3 linked regions of the Oryzias latipes genome follow. Each later gene encodes a partner of the first gene's protein in a complex. Links are inferred from orthologs where the notes say so. Each region holds a gene or a part of one and is shown on either strand. Other genes may lie near its edges.

Region 1 (4,454 bases):
AAGGAGAAGTTTTCAGTTTACAAATGTTTGGTTTTAAACAAGTTTGCATACAGTTCAATGGAGTTTGAGTGGTTTTTAGACATTCTTCAAATGGTTCTGACCTTTTATCTATTGTGGATTCATATATTTTGATCTGGTCATAAAAGACAAACACTAGTTGATCTCATTTTTTGTTCATTTTCCAACTATTCTAAGAAATAAAGAGCTGGACCTTTTATTTCTCTTTGACCACGACAATCGTTGCTTGTATTTGTCTGCGGCTCATCTGTTCCTACAGTACAGACCAAAGGTTTGGACACAGCTTCCCATTCATTTGAATGCGAAGGTGTGTCCAAACTTTTGGTCTGTGCTGTATGTTCGTACTCTGTTTACGCCGACTACGGTGGCCATTTTGGTTCAGTTGTTCTGCTCCCAGGACGGATCATACTCAAACTGAGGAATCAAACCGAATCTCAGTCAATTTGGAAACAAACCGAGACCCCCTCCAAAGACGGGTCCGAGAGTGGTTTCTGGTCCCGGACCAGGGTCTACTTTGGTGTATTCAGACTGAAAATTTCTTTTGGACCATGGTGGAAAACAAACTCTGCTTTACTTTAACCCTTGTGCTATCTTAGATGACCCCACCCTTACATTGACGTGTTCTCCCTACCATGACAAAGGTGGATAAAGGTGGAAAGATTTCATGTCATCCATGGACACCAGTGAAGATCACAATTCATTGAAGAAAAAAGGTTCAGAGCACTGTCTAGTGGGTCTAGATGACCCAACTCCCAATGTTGAAGTGCCTAGGATAGCACAAGGGTTACGCGAACCAAACATCTAAAAAAAAAAACACCCTCAGACCATAGTGGGGTTTTTTTTTAAACGCTAATTGGAGAGCCTGAGTGCTACTAAGTTACTACAGTCTTTCTGGCTAAATGTCTTCTCAAGATTTGACATTGAGGTGTTTTAGGAGGATTTGAAGAGTGACATGAAATTAAAGTTAAGTAAAAGAAAAAGCTATTTGGTTGAAGAATCAGATTACGATTCTTCTAAAAAAAAGCTGAAAATTTTGATAATTGTAAGAGTTGAATAGAAGCAGCTCAATCTAGAAAATTGTATGGACAAAAGAAAAACGGCAGGAGTTCAATAAGAATTCAACTCTCAATTGTGGGCGGGATTGTTGGCATGGAGTGAGCCTGCCTAATTTCCCATCAACCCTTTGTTTACACCTTCCCACTAGCTTACAGCCCCTCACACCAAGCTAACATTAGCAGTGCAACAAAAATGTCCATCAATATCAGATCTGTCCACCTGTCCAGTTCTAATCCAGATTCTAGCTCAGACCAAGAAAACAAAGACGTTCATGGATAATGATCAGAATGGAGCAGAGCAGGAAGACTGTGACCTGCCAATTGCAGGTTTTACATTACAGCTAGAAGAGTTTTCAAATGGCATTTTGTCATCTGCTCCTGATTCATAACAAACTGAATAAAGAAGTTATCATAAGGTGCTGTTGAAAACATCCTTTTTCTAGCAGGGGTAAAGATGGAGGCAACATTGACCCGGGATGTCCTCAAAGGCTGAACACACCTGATCCAGGTGGCTGTAAGGGAACGACAGCTGGAACCGCACTGGGGTGTCTGCCCTCGCTTAACAAAGACTTCTGTTACAAATAGATTCCAGACGATTGACACGCTTTTGACAAATTCCTTTTTCCAGATCTTTCCTTGTGGTCATCCAGTGTTAAGAGCAGGAATAGAGACGTTCCTCTGTTCTCTCACTATCCTGTGGGGAATACAGACTCTTGGGAACATTCTTCTTCCAATGGGATGTCACTGTGTGGCACCTTTTATTAAAACCTTTTCATGTGAATTAATGGTTCAGTTCCAACATGAGCCTAAACGGCTCTAAAAGGATAATCATTTAAAAAAAGGATATAAACAAAGTGAGATTTGTAAAACTGCTACAAGCTCCAGCGTTTACATTTCTACCCTTCGATCAACGTGAATCTGCGTATTCTGCTTTGCTCTGATATGTAAGAATTCTACACATATCGGGGAAAAGCCACTTTGGATCGTTCCTGTTTTGAGGGGACGTAAACTTCCGGTTCCGGACTTCCGGTTCTGGCTAGTGATGTCTTGCCGCCATGTTGTCCACAACCAGGTCCTCTTGGCTTTATTGGGAAGAACCTGATGGCGGTCATCAGAACTGACACCCCGTCACAATGAACACTTATGAATTTACGGGATTTGAACTCTGAACTGCATCAAGCAAAGTTCTGATAACAGCATGGTTTTACAGAACTGATTCAGTAGAATTTGACTGAAATGTTTCAAAACCACAGCTAAGGCTTTAAGGCACGTATGTATCCTGCAGCACGTCACTTAACCTCAAGTTTTACTTTGATGTTCATCGCTGCCAGTTCAGCTACAAAGTAGCGGAAGACGTAAGGAACAGACACGGCGTTGATGGAGTCACTTTTGCCACAAAGCGTGCAGAGGGTCTTTCGGTGGCGCATGGCTGACCAGCAGGGCGGAGGCTTCTCCAGCAGCGGGGACAGGAGGCTGCCGCAGTCCACGCACATCTGAGCCTCTGAGCGGTCGGAGCAGTTGAAAAGACGATCGTGAAGGAGGAAGGAGGAGCCATGGGCCAGCAGGGCGTCACGCTCCATCTCTCCAAAGCGGATGCCTCCCTGAATGTTCCTTCCTCCAACGGGCTGGTTGGTGACCTTGTCCCGCGCTCCGGTGGTCCTGACTTGAAATTTGTCAGAGACCATGTGACGCAGCCGCTGGTAGTAGACCACACCGATGAAGATGTCTGCCTCCAGCTCCCGACCGCTCACTCCACTGTAGAGCCGCTCTGTCCCGTAGTAGTTGTACCCCCCCGCCCGGAGCAATTCCCCAAAGTGATCCAGCGCAGAGTTCTCCTCAGAGAAGGTGAAGGGTGTGGCGTCGTGGCTCCGACCATGAAGGGCGGCAGACTTGCCCGCCATGCTCTCGATCAGCATCCCGATGGTCATTCGAGACGGGAAGCCGTGGGGGTTGAACAAGATGTCGGGGGTCATGCCGCTCTCCGTGAAGGGCATGTCCTCAGCGGGCCACAAGCGGCTCAGGATGCCCTTCTGCCCGTGGCGGCTGGCAAACTTGTCACCAATTGTGGGGTTTCGTGGCACTCGGGTGGTAATGCAGATGCGTTTGAACTGGCCTGAGCCGCTGTCGTTGCTGCATATCTTGATGTTGTCCACCACACAGGCCTCCTGGCTTCTACAAACCACACAGAATGGCTTTCACTTCCACTGAGACAAAACATGAAGGGAGCAGAGATTTTTGCCGCTTACTTGTAAAAGTGGACGCAGCTTTGTCCCGTGTTGAGGTTGATGTAGCTGTAAAAGGGGTCACCATACTGAAGCACCGATCCGACACGAGGGAGCCCATCAGCATCGAGCTTGTCGTTTACTTTGGGGTCCCCTGGCTTGGTCCCAAACACCACAGCATCTTCCCCCCTCACTTTGTCTGCAAGGTCCACCAATTCTGTCTTGTAGATGCTCCCATGTGCAAAGCCTCTCTCCCACGATGACTTGTTCACAATCTAGTAAGATCAAAGAACGTCAGAATGTAGAGACCCACTCTGAACATCTATTTTCAAAGCATTCCAGGTGGTCTTCAGACTAGGAGGAAGTCATTTTTAGCCTAAATCTAAAAACCAAAGACCAGCAGGAGTTCATCAGAAATTCACCCTGAAGTTGTGGGCGGGACCGCTGGCATAGAGTGACCCTTCCTCCATTTCCCATCATGCCTTTGTTTACACCATCTCAGGCAAACCAATTCCCGTCACAACCCCTAACTAACATTATCAGAGAAACAAAAATGTCGACCAATATCAGAGCTATCCAGCCGTACAGTTTAGAGCCAGATTCCAGCTCAGACGAGGAAAATAAAGACGTTCATGGATCTATCTGTAAGAGGATGATCAGAATGGAGTAGCATCCCTACTGGGAATGCTTTGAAAATAGCTCAAAAGATGATCAAATCCCATCTGTAGAAATGTAAAAACTATTGTGTTGAATTCACCATAGCATCTTCCATGTCGTAGCCGGTGTAGGATATGACGGCGACGATGGCGTTTGTGCCGCTTGGATAGTTGTCCAGATTGTAGTGATCGTACATGTAGGGCCTGACGAGGGCGCTCTGTGGCGTCTGTAGTCGGTACAGCTTATTGTCCGAGCGATCCATAAACGAGTGTAGAGGGAAGCCCATCGTTTGTTTACCTGAAACAAACAGTTTAGGGTCAACAATTTCAGGACTTTGGACTCCAAATTGGTGTTAGCCTTCAATGAACATTTCTGATCCCACCCACTTACCCATCTGACACTGGTACATGTTTCTAGGACTCTGGTTGTGGTCTGAGAAAGGGATGAAGTTTGCCACCACGCTCAGCATACTGTGAGGGAAGAGCTCCTGGTGTGTGGTAAC
Region 2 (6,147 bases), on another chromosome or scaffold:
TAATGTTAATCCGTGTGGTCAGTAATTTTGTTTGTGGAAGAACGGAGCTGGAAGAAGGGTTAGGCGAGGGCTAACACGTGCTAACAACATTAGCCTTGTTTCATGAACATAAAATCCATGCGGGAAATGCCGCAATCTGCATCTTGGCTGCACGTAAATATGTGGGAATAACATCAGCCTATATTTTGTCGGGACACGACTGGAAACACAAATCCACGTGATTGTTTGAACAGTTTCTAAGGACTGCTTAGTAATATGCTTCAATTCCACGGGTCATTATCCAAAATAACAAAAAAAGATTGGTGGTCCTGCCAGAAAACATGGAAATAGTGCCAAGTCTAGTGCTACCATTGAGTTTGGATAGACTACAAGATCAGCCTAAATGTTCACTAGTCAGAGAAAACTCACTCAGATATTCCTAGAATGCTTTCTACAAGTTCTCCTTTATAAGCTGACAGTAATCATGTCACATTAAAGTCACATCCTTGTTTTTCCAGCTGTTAGTGTAATGGTAGCACACCAGTGAGCTACCATTACACATCCAATATGGCGTCCAACTCTGTGCACGCAACAAGCTAGCGAGGCGACTCTAGCCTAAATATGTCATTAGAAAAAACGTCCACATTTGATACCTGGTCTTGAGCAGACGTCCTCTGATCAGAAGCACCCCAGCAGCGTCCGCATCCAGAGCTGTCACCTCAAACTCCAGCTCCGACCCGATCTTGGGCCCCGCATCCCTCCAGGTTTCCACAGAGACGAGATTTGGTTTTGGGATGCTGGCATTGAAACAGCCGTGCACAAGACAGCCAACATGGCTCACTCCTAGTTTATTTACTTTACCCTGCGGGAAATAGAGCATCTGTTCATGCTGTAGTATGTCTGCATTATTCTCTAAACAAAGCTTCAGCTCCTCTGCAAATATAATAGCTTTTACCAAAGAAAAACAAAAACATACCAGGAGTTTCTGCCCTTTTTTGGGTTGAAATACAACAAAATTGGCCTCTATGTCCATGTGAATGTAGCCGCTGTCATCGTAGATGTCTCCATGTCTGCCCACTATCCGGATGTTGTCATAAGCCAGGGGTACTCCGTTCAGACTGCAAGGCACATGTACACATAGCTGAGAAAAGTTGTGTCACAGCCAGACGAACAAACATCAGCTGACTGGAATAAACTAAACAAGAAGGTAAATACCTAGACAAAATGTTCTGTGTGGTCCTAGTACCTAAAACTGTCCATCCCAAAGAACCCAGAGGGGATCATACTCCACCATCTTAACCCAGTGCCCAACGCTCTTGGAGGATGGCACTCTCCAGGTTCTCTGGACAACATTCAGGGCTCTCAGGTATCTCTTAAATACCGGATTCTTTAAGGTAAACTTAAGGTATGTTAAAGGCATCCCCAACCCCTGGGCGGTAGACCGGTACCAGTTTGTTGGACAAATGGTACCGGGCCGCAGAGAAAAAAACAGGACCTCCATTATTTCTGTTTTATTTAGTTCTGGGTGAAGTTTTATTTTAAAAATCTACTGGATTCTTCACCGCATCCAACTCATTCTTCAAGTCGCTTGGTTGCGTGTTGAAAATCCATCGATACTTTCTTAAAGCGTGCGCAAACTGCAGCCCCGAAGCTAGCACAGTTAGCAAAAAACAAACACATTTGGAAAGTTTCTTTTTGCAGAGAAGAGCCAGTGAGGAAACAGAAGACGATCCTTTGACTTCAAAATAAAAAAACAGCAGCATTTAACAGAAAAAAAAGGATTTATTGTGACAGTTGTTCCCACAGACAATAATAATAATACATAACATTCAACAACCAGCGGTCTAATATTACGAGGATGCTGCTAATAAAGTTGTTCAAATGGTGGATTCCCATTTATAATCATATTTAAAAATAAAACACTTTTTTTTAAATTTATCAATTGCACCATAAAAGTCGGATGAGGGTGAGGTTGGCGCTGACAGCAGCTCCACGGCGGCGGAGTAAGACGGTACCTATGTTCACGTGACTACTGCTGGTTAGTAAGCATAAAGTGGATTTCCATCTTTATGCAGACGACTGCCAAATCTTTGTTGCTATGCGCAAATGTCCCGACTGTTCAGGCAACAACTGGACGGCCAAGTGGATGTCGGCTAACTTCTTTGGGCTTAATGAAACAAAAACTGCAGTAATTATGTTTTCCCGTCGTGGTCGAAAGGATCGCGGTCTTCATCTCCTCTCGCTCGCCCCGTTTCAACAGTCTGTGGTCTATAACCTAGGCGTGAAACTCGATGCTACCTTGAAAGTGGACCTCCAAATAAAGGCTGTAACCAGGTCCTGCTTTTTTCAGCTGCAGCGTTTGGCGAGGATTATGGTTTTTTTATCCAAATTAGATTTTGTAATTGTGTAGCATCTTCTGTGTAGTCAAGGCTAAATTATTGCAGCTCCTTATATGCGGTGTCCCGCAATAGCGAGGCTGCAGCTAGTTCAAAATGCAGCCGGCAGATTTATTCGTGGTACAAAGAAATCTGAGCGCATTACCCCAATCCTGGTCTCCTTAAACTGACTGCCCATGCAATCGTTTTTTTTTTTAAAAAGAAAAAGAAAATTCCTGTTTTTGTTTTTGTCATTAGCAGGTACGGCATCTTCTTACCTAGTCTGCTTTTAAAATATTCTCCCCTCGAGTTCTTGTGCTCTGCTGACCAGTGTGTGTTACTATTGTGAGAACCACATGTAAGTTCTAAAGGGATTGTGCGTTGACTCAACATCCACCGGCTAACAGAGAGGTTACACTCTTGGAGAGCTTTAAAGCCAAACTGTTCCTCCACCATCACGCCGCTGTCTCTGCCTAGCTGCCTTTTTGTTATGTTGGTTTCAATCTCTGTTTTTATACTTATATGATGTATTCTACCTTCCCTGTGTACAGCACTTTGGGTCTACGAGGCTGGGGGTGGAAGGTACTCTAGGAATGAATACATGAAATGTAAATGTCCTTTTCAGCCAAAATGATAATAAAAATAACAAGCTTTTTTCAACAGCATTTTTTCGACAATGCTGAAGTTGGCTTCTGATTCACAGCTTCTGATTCGCGGGAGCACTAAAGAAACATTCCACTGCACTTTTCACACAGCGGTTTCTGAACAGGACCTGGTCTGAGGTGGACTCTGTGCGTAAAATGCGATACAAATCATTCTTTCACATTTTTACAAATCGGAAGAAGGTTTAATAAATCAGAACCTGCGTTTAATGCATTCTTAACTATCTAATGTATAATTTAATCCAGGTTTGAGGGGTCCAGGTCCAGCGGTGTTTTAACAGGGACCGGTTTTAGGTGATCTTAGCCCGAGAAATGCATTGAATGTTTCTTTAGTGCCCTCGCGAATCGGAAGCCAACTTCAGCATCATGTTTTTTCGTCTGCTCCTGATGATTCACAACAATTAGATTAAAAAATACTTAAAAAAGCCGTTTTAATACCAATTTTCCTTAAGATATGTCCTCCAACGTGAGAAAAATGTGACAAGAACATGTTTGAAAAAGAATTTTCATTGGAGTGCGTCTTAATGAATCATCTTAAAATTGATCCGGACACAGACAGATATTTATTGTGTTGTAGTTCATTTGGATGGATGGATAAAGTCTCTTTTTTTTTAACGCGCTTCATCTTCACAGACTCCACTAAAGGATGTCGGGGTACCTCTGGGAGAACTTCAGGAGCTCCGCTTCCAGCTCCTCCTGGATTCCGCTTCTCTTCTTGTGGAGGTAGACCGGCGGGAGGACGACGTGCCTCCTGCGGGGGTTCATCACCAGGCAGGAGTACGGCGCTGACAGCAGCTCCACGGCGGCGGAGTAAGACGGGACCAAACACGGAGCACCGCCCGCAGCTTTTTCTGCAGCTGCGGACGCTGGATCCACCGGAATCGAGCCAGAGACGGCAAGAGGTTCAGCCGACATTTTCACGTGTTTTGGTTCGGCGTGGATCAGGTTCTCCATGCTGCGTGAGAAGACCGGAAAACAAACAAGTCGTAGTTTCCGGAAAGAGGATCGACCTGCCACCAACCGAAGTTTAACATTTATGCGTATGTTGCCCTCTGCTGGTGAGGCGGTGAAACTACAGCATGAAATATGAAGCATGAGCAGAAACGTAGTCTTTTATTTTTATTTTTTATTTTTATAAATAAATGTTTCATTCTTGTTTCATTAATGTGGACTGGAATCATCAAAGCCAAAGTGGGACTATTCCCAAACAGAATGAAAGATGTTTAGAGGCAGGTAACTGAGTGCTGGGAGGAGGCGCATTACCTGGAGGTACACCGCCATTTGGAGACACAGAGTGAATGAACATGCTTCACCCTTCCCGAGGTCGAGCATGCAAGTTGCTTCCAAAGATCTTTATTAGCACCACTGTAGCCCAGACACCAGTGTTTTTTTCTTTATAAAAAAATACTTCTATTTGTTTATTTTGCATGATTGTGTGTTCTTTTAAATCTGCTCATGGATCTCTTTCCTTTCTGCATGGATAGTGGTCCTGAGTGCAGGACTGCATGGCCATTTAAGGACTGTCAGCTGGGATGAGTGGAGAGCACTGGGCAAAATACTAACCATTCACATTTTTCTCTCTTTATTTTTATTCTAGATGTGTTGTTTTCAAATATATTGTTTTATGAAACCATTTCTTTTAGATTAGACCTGTTTTAACCTGTTTTAACATTTTCAAAGTAAAAGGCCTCTGCTGTCTCTGGTCACTCCAGAGACAGCAGAGACTGCAGATCTGCCGCTTCTCGGCAGATCTAATACTTTGTACTGTAGTTCTGGGGCTTCACCCTCTTAATCTTGATGTCTTCTCTTCCTGCAATAGTGGCAATGACAAGACAGTTGTATAAATATAGGAGAATATTGTGTTATTTATTTCTATAGGAAGACTCCAATGGTCATGCCCTCCCATAGTGTTCTGTCCTTTGTTATGTAATCTGTGGAATGTTATGCAATGGAAGCCTGGTAAAGGTTCTCATTGATTCTGGATCCTCTTCTCAGTGGAAGTGTCACATTAAGATCATTAGGGTGACCTAAAGTGTGAATTTGAGCAGCTGATGAACACTCTGTCTTATATTAAACATGCGGTACTTTCAGAAACATAAAGACAGAAGCAAATCTACACTGCAAAAACAAAAACTAGTACAAAAATATATTTTTGTACTTGACATGAGACAAAACTACTTCACAAGTAACTTTTCCGTGTGGTAAAATGACTGGTTTTAAGACAACATATCCTGAACATTTTGTAGAAAATGTTTTGTTTTAAGTAATATCGCTAAAAAAACTATTTTTTGACTCATAATGTTCTTTTAATCTTGACAACTTTATCTTAGAATGTTTGATTCTAGTCTACAGCTCTTAAAGTAGGATTTTTTAGGGGGAGAAGTAGCATGTCCTGTAGGTTTACCCATCAATGTACCTACTTTACAGAAGTGAAAGGGTTTTAAAAGCAACACACGCTTTTTTAAAGACACAATATTTCCAGTTATCAAAGCAATATAACTAATTCAGGACAACATGCCTTATTTTAAGAAATCTTTCCAAGACAAATTCTACCAGTTTCTATTGACAGATTTCACTTATAAAAAAACAAAAAAACATCTTGTATTCTATTTTATTTAACCTGCTTTGAGAAGGATATTAGTTGCAGTGTTTTCTCAAAGAGTACACTCCAAATTATTTGATCCTTGCAGAGATTTAAAACTTAGTTTTTAGACAGTCAAGCTATTTTATCAGGTTTTAATTATTTTAACTTCTCTTTGCTCTTCACCCTTCTAGGTTAATCTTAAAATCAGTACAGAGGAAAATGTTTGTCTCATTAGGAGATAAGATTTAGAAATGAGGAAGGTATTATGAAAGCGAGTCAAAATCCTTTTGCTCCATACGCTCGACAGCAGAAAAACTTGCTTTAAGACAAAAGAAACTCAGATTGACATTCGAATGCATTTTATTTAGATTTTAAAATTTAGATTTATGTTCTAAGATTAATTGCTTATTTTACATTTGATGTATTAAGATGGGCCAACTTTTACTAAAATCTTGTTCTCATTTTTTCCCCCCATTTGCTCTAAAATGAGTCGTTTCCACTAAATGAACCAGTTTTTTTTTACCACTGTAAGTTAAGATGAACTACA
Region 3 (6,347 bases), on another chromosome or scaffold:
TGATGGACTATTAGGAATATTAAGAACATTGTATACAAACCTTTTCCATTTTTTGGACATCCATTCCACTATGATTCATCTTCTCTTTTTCAGCATAAACTTTAAAGGATTGTAATCGCACATCTGGGACTCTCTGTTTAGGACGTGCACATTAAGAAACCCTAGCAGGAGTCAGACAGATACAGAGATGCCAGCTAAAGCTACACGACGGAGTAAAGCTGTCCCTTTTTTCTTTTGGGGACTTTTAAAGTCGGTGATTGTAGCTTTGAAAAGAACGTTTCAGAAATTTAAAACGTATATGCAAAAAGCAAATCCAAAATGAAGCTTCTGCCTCTTGCACAGAGCTGCTGTTTCCTGCTGAGTCTGTGGTTCACTTACTGACTTCTGTGACATTACGTTTCAGTGGGAAGTTGTCAAGTCATTCAAGACACTTTTGTGTTGCACAATGACAACCACAGGCTTGCTTGGTAACAACCAGACAAAGAAGGACAAAAATGTTCAGTGTGCAATATGTTCTGTCTACAATTAAAAAAAAAAAAATGTGCCTACATGTAAGGTGGTGGTTCTGTCATCTAGACGTTTACAACTTGGTTGCTTTTTTTCTATCTTCAAATGTACGAGTCAAATAATTTCATGTACAACTCAAATGATTTGATTTATTAAAGTATTTTGTAAACAAATACAGAGAGTTTTGTGTCTTTTTTCTCTCCACACATCCTACTTTGAATTTCAGTGCATTTTCTTGCGCTTCCGTCTCTCGACAAACTTATCGTATTTGATCAGAGGCAGAACAAGTGAGGCGTATCTGTGTTCGTCCTGTAGCTGTGCTTCATCTCCTTTACCGCGGGCTGGCTTGCTTATGGTTAAACCCATCGACTTTGCAATCTCCAGCATCCTGTAGGGAAACAAGAATCATTCTTTAGTGGCAGAACAACAATATTACCTTGTTAAAGACCCACTCCAATAAAATGTTTTTGGTGTTTTTAGCCCTAATCTTCTAAAAAAAAAAAAAAAAAACTGCACTCTAAGGACCGGCTCCTCCAAATCCAAAAAAACAGCGAGTGACATCAAGAAGTGAGGAACAGCCCCTTCCAGGAACAGTCTGTGCTGCCAGCACCGCCCCCAGGCTTACAGACACACCCACTTTCTCAGCGGAGCTAGTGGTAAACAGCAAAGCGCTTTCATTTTATGTACAGAATATGCATATCCATCTTTGCAAATGTTGGGACATGCTGCCAAGTCCGACCCTAGGTTGTCATAAAATGTGCGAAACCCACACAGAGAGAAAGGTGGTGCCTCAGAGAGAGTCGTCTTATGTTCGGGTTGGAAAATCAGTTGGTAAAATAACTAAGATGTTTTAAAGGGAGAGAATTTGGGGTTTTTGTACCTGGCCTCATTGATTTCCAGGTCACGGTGAAGCAGTGAGAGGTTAACAGTCATGTCACCCAAATGCAGCAACAGAGCCAGACTGTGAGCTGCTATTTTGGCCCGCATTGATGTCGACACAATGTTCTGGACCCTAAAAGGAGAACACAAAACACATTTGTCAGCTTTTTTTTTTTTTAAACCTTAACAAAAGAGGGGGTACTGTCGCATACACACCTGCCATTATTGTATGTCTCCACTGTAAATGTTCGGAGAATTTTACTTTGAATGACACGAGGACAACCTTCCTCAGTCCAAACTGCAAACAAAAACGGGTGGAATAGAAAAAGCATCATACATTACAAAACTTTAGGGGCAGGGCATTTTAACGTGTTGATCAGCGATATTTAGAATCTACTACTTCAATAACTGAGATTCCAAAATTCTGCTCACATTTGCGAGTGACAATCTTCTGATGGGCAAGTTTGATGAGGAGAGACAGGTAAAAAGCGCAGCGAGCAGTTTTCTCTCTAGGTTCACTTGCGGATGGCATGTTCTCCAGGTGCTTCATCACACACAGATTCCTTTGGTAAGAAATAGAGAAATATTTCAATTCAATAATAAGTAAATAAGGCTAATAAGACAAAAATGCTCTCTGCTACCATACCCTCTTTGGTCTTTCAACTTCTGCAGCTCCTCTTGGCTTAGTGCCGTCATCTTTTGACCGTTCGGCTCCAAAGCAGCAAATTCTACTGGACTCAGTACTGTTGAAGTCAAATTAAGGATGGAGAAAAGTGCTGCTTTTGCTCGAACTACATATGCATGTAATTTCCAATATCTGTTCAAATTGGGGGTGGGGGGGTAATGTTAAAAAGATACGCTCTTCAAAGGGGTAGACATCTTCTTTTTTGTCTGCATCTGCATTGCAGGGAGGTAGGTGTAACGACAGGGCTCCTTGAGACTCTGTTTCAGCTACTTCCTGTTGCAGAGCTAACAAGAAAAAAAGGGGGAAAAAAACATGTAGTAAAAAAAAAATGATGGCAAGTCCAGTATGAATTTGAGTTATATTTTCTTGTCTAGATTACTCCAAAAGGCTGAAAGCTTCACGCTTACCTTCCAGACCCTTGTTATCAATCACAGTGCTGGCAGCTTCAGCCACTGCATGATGCAGAGCATCACTGCCCACCTGGTTGAGCCTGCGAGAGCTCAGAGCTCGTTTCTGTTTATTCGTGCCAAAGGCCTCAATCAAGGAGTCAACCTTGAGAAAGAAAAAAAAAACATGACTTCACTGTGTGCTTGTTTGTTTCAAAAGAAAGCTTGTTTTTCTCATACCTTTTCCCTGTAGGACAGAGTGGTGTCCTGAGGCTTTGCATCATGTGTTGCCTCTCCTGGTGGAAATTAACTGGCATTACTAAATTGCCCTCCTTTAAAAATCGCTTGTTATTGTTTTGGGGATTGCATTTCTTTTACCTGGTATGACAGGTTGCATGTTGAATAGCTGAGCGCTGTGTATCTCCATCTGCATGGTTTCTTTATTCAAAACTCCAACATAATATCTGAAAATAATTGCATCACAAAACTCATTCGATAAGGATACGAAAGGTCTATATCAAATGTTAATGTATATAAAATGTAATGATAACAAACCTGCAAAGATTATTGCATTTCATTAAATCTTCTCCAAAATTCTGCCCGACATAAGACAACCTGTCTGATTCAGCAACCTAAATGGAACAGACAACTGTTACATATTTAATGAATGCGAATCTGTCATTTTTGTTTAATTATTATGGTATAATGTACGTGTGTGTGGTTGTAAATATATGGATATGCATCTCTTATAACATTTTTTATTTTACAATCAAAAAATGACAAACCATCTTAAGTTTGATAAACATATGAGTGGATTTGTATTTCTTCTTCAGTGTGATGTTATATTGATTGCTTGAAATATATCAATTCCATGCAAACTATGGTGTGTGCGAGCACGCATGCGCAATTTCTCACCACGATCCGCCTTATCTTTTTCCTCGGATTATTTTCTTCTATGTTCTTGAATGTGGCAAAATCCAGTTCCTCTGCATTGCTGGTGAAACCATTCGAAAATCGGACTGCAAAAAATACAGAGAATGGCGTGTTAATGTTGATTATGTGTGAGAATATTGCCTTGTAACTTTCACGTGTTCTGATTACTCCTGAAAAATGGAATAGTTTTATACACTTGAATGCAACACAGATAACTCAAATACTGACTGTATGCTCGCCTGCTTTAGAGATTATTGTTTCAAAAAGGCTGAGATGAGAATAATTACCTATGATCGCTTTGTCAGACTCCCTTTCCTCCTCGCAGCACACCATCCTGCACGAGGCGGCCATGATTGTTGTTGTGATCTGTGAAAGGAGCGAGAGGACTCACTCATCTGTATTTACGTAAAACGTAACGCTCAGTGAATTTGGTCAATGACGAATTTTTGTCTTTTCTTAAAGCTGTCTAAAAACATTTTTTTTCTAAATACACGTAAATATTATTCACAACACCTGTCTTAATAAAGTAGATATTTAAAACCATTTCGCTCAATAGTTTTCATCCTAGACACTTACGAACGACAGCGACACCCTGTGGTGAATCATTCAAACTGCTGCGCTTTACCTCAACGAGGTCATTTCAATCAAGGTGCAGCAGCGCCACCCTGTGAGTCTGGATGGGGAAAAAAAGCCGTCTGAATAAATGTTCGTATAGATTAAGCAAAACGTGCTGCTTGGTAAGCGCCGGAAACACACCAGATCATCGGTATTATGATATTGTTCTGAAGTTGTATCCTGCTCATCGGTCATCCTAAAGCTAACGACCATCGCAACTCCCTTCTTCTCGACAGTTGAACTACTACGCCGTTCAGACTGTATTGGAGAACTACGAGGAAGTGGCTTAGAGGAGATGTTATGAACACCGCAATGGAAGGGTTAGCCATAGGTAGCTGCACTTGAGGGGACATTTTGTGGGGGAAAGGGTGTCGGCGGAGACGATCTTTTGGGGAGACCTAATGCACCCGCTGGTGCTGCTATATAGCTAGAAGGAGTTGGCTAGCCGCGCGGCTGCTAACGAGACTCACTACTAGCCTCTTCACTTTTTTTCCCTGAATATTTTCTCAATTTTTTTCCTTCGGGGACACACTTTTTGGAAGACTTAAAGGTAATTTGTGCTATTTGACATTTTTAAAATCTAGTATATGTTATTTATTGTTTATAACCCACATGATTGTCCAGTTTAAACTTGCAAGCTATTCTTTAAGGTCTGTTTTGCAGTAACCGAATTCTCTATCATCAAGTTGCGATAAAAAAATATAAAGTTTGGGGAATTTAAAACGACTAATTACCCAAAGTTTTTGAATGTAATAAATGTTACAACACGGTTATCGCATAGTAAGATATTGAATTCTATTTTAGGCCACAGAATTCTATAAAATTAAATCAATTATTCTGAAAAAAAAATTAGCTAGCTTACTTAAATTTCCTTCTTTTGTGTGTGTTATATGTTGAGTCTTTGGAAACGCTTTTAACCAAAGTGACTCACTAGTTTATTACAATCCAAGGCAACGTGAGGTTAAGTGTTTCGCCCAAGGACACTTTTGACTGTGTAGTCTTGGATTTAAACCCCCAATCTACTGACCTTCAAATTCTTTCCTTAGTTATGTCTATGTTAAATAGTCAAAAGGAAGTCAAATGTGTGTGTTTTGCACTGATAATGACATATTGAAGTCAGCCCAAAAAGCCAGAATGTTTCTAAGACTTGTTGTCTTGTTGATTAACTTAACTTCACATTCTGAGTAACTTCACATTCTGAGTGGCTAAACACACCTGATGATCCAGGGAGCAGGGAGAGCTGGGAAACAGTCAAGGTGGTAGATCTGTTGGGCAGCCCCCTGTGAAATCATTGATGTCCACGTCCTTCTCACTTTTGTCTCCTTCTCCTCCTCCTTTGGACTGATTTGTCAGCAGAGCCATGGACTTCCCGGGACACTTTGAGCAGATATTCCAGCAGCTGAACTATCAGCGGCTGCACGGTCAGCTGTGCGACTGCATCATAGTGGTGGGCAGCCGACACTTCAAAGCCCACCGCTCTGTTCTTGCAGCCTGCAGCACCCACTTCAGAGCGCTCTTCACCGTCGCCGAGGGAGATGCTAGCATGAATATGATCCAGCTGGACAGCGAGGTTTGGACCTGAAGCGAGCACTGGCTCTGCTGTGAGTTAATATCATGATAACAAACTGCCTGTTTGCAGGTGGTCACGGCTGAGGCATTTGCTGCCCTGGTGGACATGATGTACACGTCGACGCTGATGCTGGGGGAGAGTAACGTCATGGATATCCTCCTCGCCGCCTCACATTTGCACCTCAACAATGTCGTAAAAGCCTGCAAGCACTACCTAACCACACGCACACTGCCTGTGTCGCCCTCCTCTGAGAGGCCGGCCCATCACCACTCTCAACAGGAGCAGCAAAGGCACAGGCAGCAGCAGGCGGACTTGGGAGGGAACCCAGCTTCAGCGGGTAACACAAGCCTCACAGGAAACGCTGCCACGTCGAAGGTGCAGCGCTCCTTCTTGCTGCAGCAGCTGGGGCTCAGCTTGGTGAGCTCCGCTTTAGGAGGAATGGAGGAAGGCGGCGTGAGCAACAGAGCGGTCGACCAGCGGGCCTCATTCCCAGTCCGTCGATTCCACAAACGAAAGCCGTCTCTAGCGCTGACAATTTCAGAGGAGAGACCCAGACAAAGGCAGCGGACCTCAGGGGGCGCCAACCTAGGTTTGTTGGAGGAAGACGGCGAAAATGCAGATCAGGATGAAGCAGCGCTTCATTCGCCGGACTCCCACAAACCGGGGGATGATTCTAAGCTAGGCGCCGGCATCACAGGGTTTGTAGCTGTGGCTCAAGATGACCCTCAGATGCCGAGTCAGTCAGACAGTGGACGCTCTGAAGGGGAGAACT

What was found.
Region 2: polr1b (region 1) and twistnb share a complex: the UniProt entries of both Homo sapiens proteins name them as parts of the RNA polymerase I (Pol I) complex. The link is inferred for Oryzias latipes from reciprocal best matches to the Homo sapiens genes POLR1B and POLR1F.
Region 3: the proteins of polr1b (region 1) and polr1e are in contact, whole or in part, in a cryo-EM structure (PDB 8A43), measured with the Homo sapiens proteins. The link is inferred for Oryzias latipes from reciprocal best matches to the Homo sapiens genes POLR1B and POLR1E. Residues at the interface, in NP_061887.2 of Homo sapiens: Lys254, Ser258, Phe259, Ser260, Tyr262, Gln263, Gln266, Ser295, Thr296, Gln297, Ser338, Thr340, Glu341, Ala532, Cys535, Pro541, Ile542, Asp543, Gly544; in NP_071935.1 of Homo sapiens: Gln27, Ser29, Asn30, Gly31, Tyr69, Thr76, Leu79, Lys80, Cys81, Leu84, Cys85, Met109, Gln110, Pro111, Leu112, Phe113.

What each region holds. Positions count from the first base shown.
Region 1 is NC_019873.2:3,643,511-3,647,964, forward strand, and holds the end of polr1b (DNA-directed RNA polymerase I subunit RPA2), read right to left. Parts: coding exon 4,343-4,454; intron 4,250-4,342; coding exon 4,053-4,249; intron 3,571-4,052; coding exon 3,320-3,570; intron 3,246-3,319; coding exon 2,363-3,245; 3' UTR 1,796-2,362; downstream 1-1,795. UniProt on the Homo sapiens protein: Catalytic core component of RNA polymerase I (Pol I), a DNA-dependent RNA polymerase which synthesizes ribosomal RNA precursors using the four ribonucleoside triphosphates as substrates.
Region 2 is NC_019869.2:9,792,947-9,799,093, reverse strand, and holds the start of twistnb (DNA-directed RNA polymerase I subunit RPA43), read right to left. Parts: upstream 4,012-6,147; 5' UTR 3,971-4,011; coding exon 3,675-3,970; intron 1,098-3,674; coding exon 956-1,097; intron 842-955; coding exon 633-841; intron 1-632. UniProt on the Homo sapiens protein: Component of RNA polymerase I (Pol I), a DNA-dependent RNA polymerase which synthesizes ribosomal RNA precursors using the four ribonucleoside triphosphates as substrates.
Region 3 is NC_019859.2:12,629,974-12,636,320, forward strand, and holds polr1e (DNA-directed RNA polymerase I subunit RPA49), read right to left. Parts: upstream 4,012-6,347; 5' UTR 3,997-4,011; coding exon 3,967-3,996; intron 3,757-3,966; coding exon 3,678-3,756; intron 3,477-3,677; coding exon 3,373-3,476; intron 3,090-3,372; coding exon 3,013-3,089; intron 2,922-3,012; coding exon 2,836-2,921; intron 2,754-2,835; coding exon 2,698-2,753; intron 2,624-2,697; coding exon 2,479-2,623; intron 2,356-2,478; coding exon 2,245-2,355; intron 2,130-2,244; coding exon 2,033-2,129; intron 1,950-2,032; coding exon 1,819-1,949; intron 1,685-1,818; coding exon 1,603-1,684; intron 1,520-1,602; coding exon 1,388-1,519; intron 896-1,387; coding exon 730-895; 3' UTR 640-729; downstream 1-639. Other genes in the region: zinc finger and BTB domain-containing protein 5-like, read left to right, coding at 5,366-5,575, 5,645-6,347. UniProt on the Homo sapiens protein: Component of RNA polymerase I (Pol I), a DNA-dependent RNA polymerase which synthesizes ribosomal RNA precursors using the four ribonucleoside triphosphates as substrates.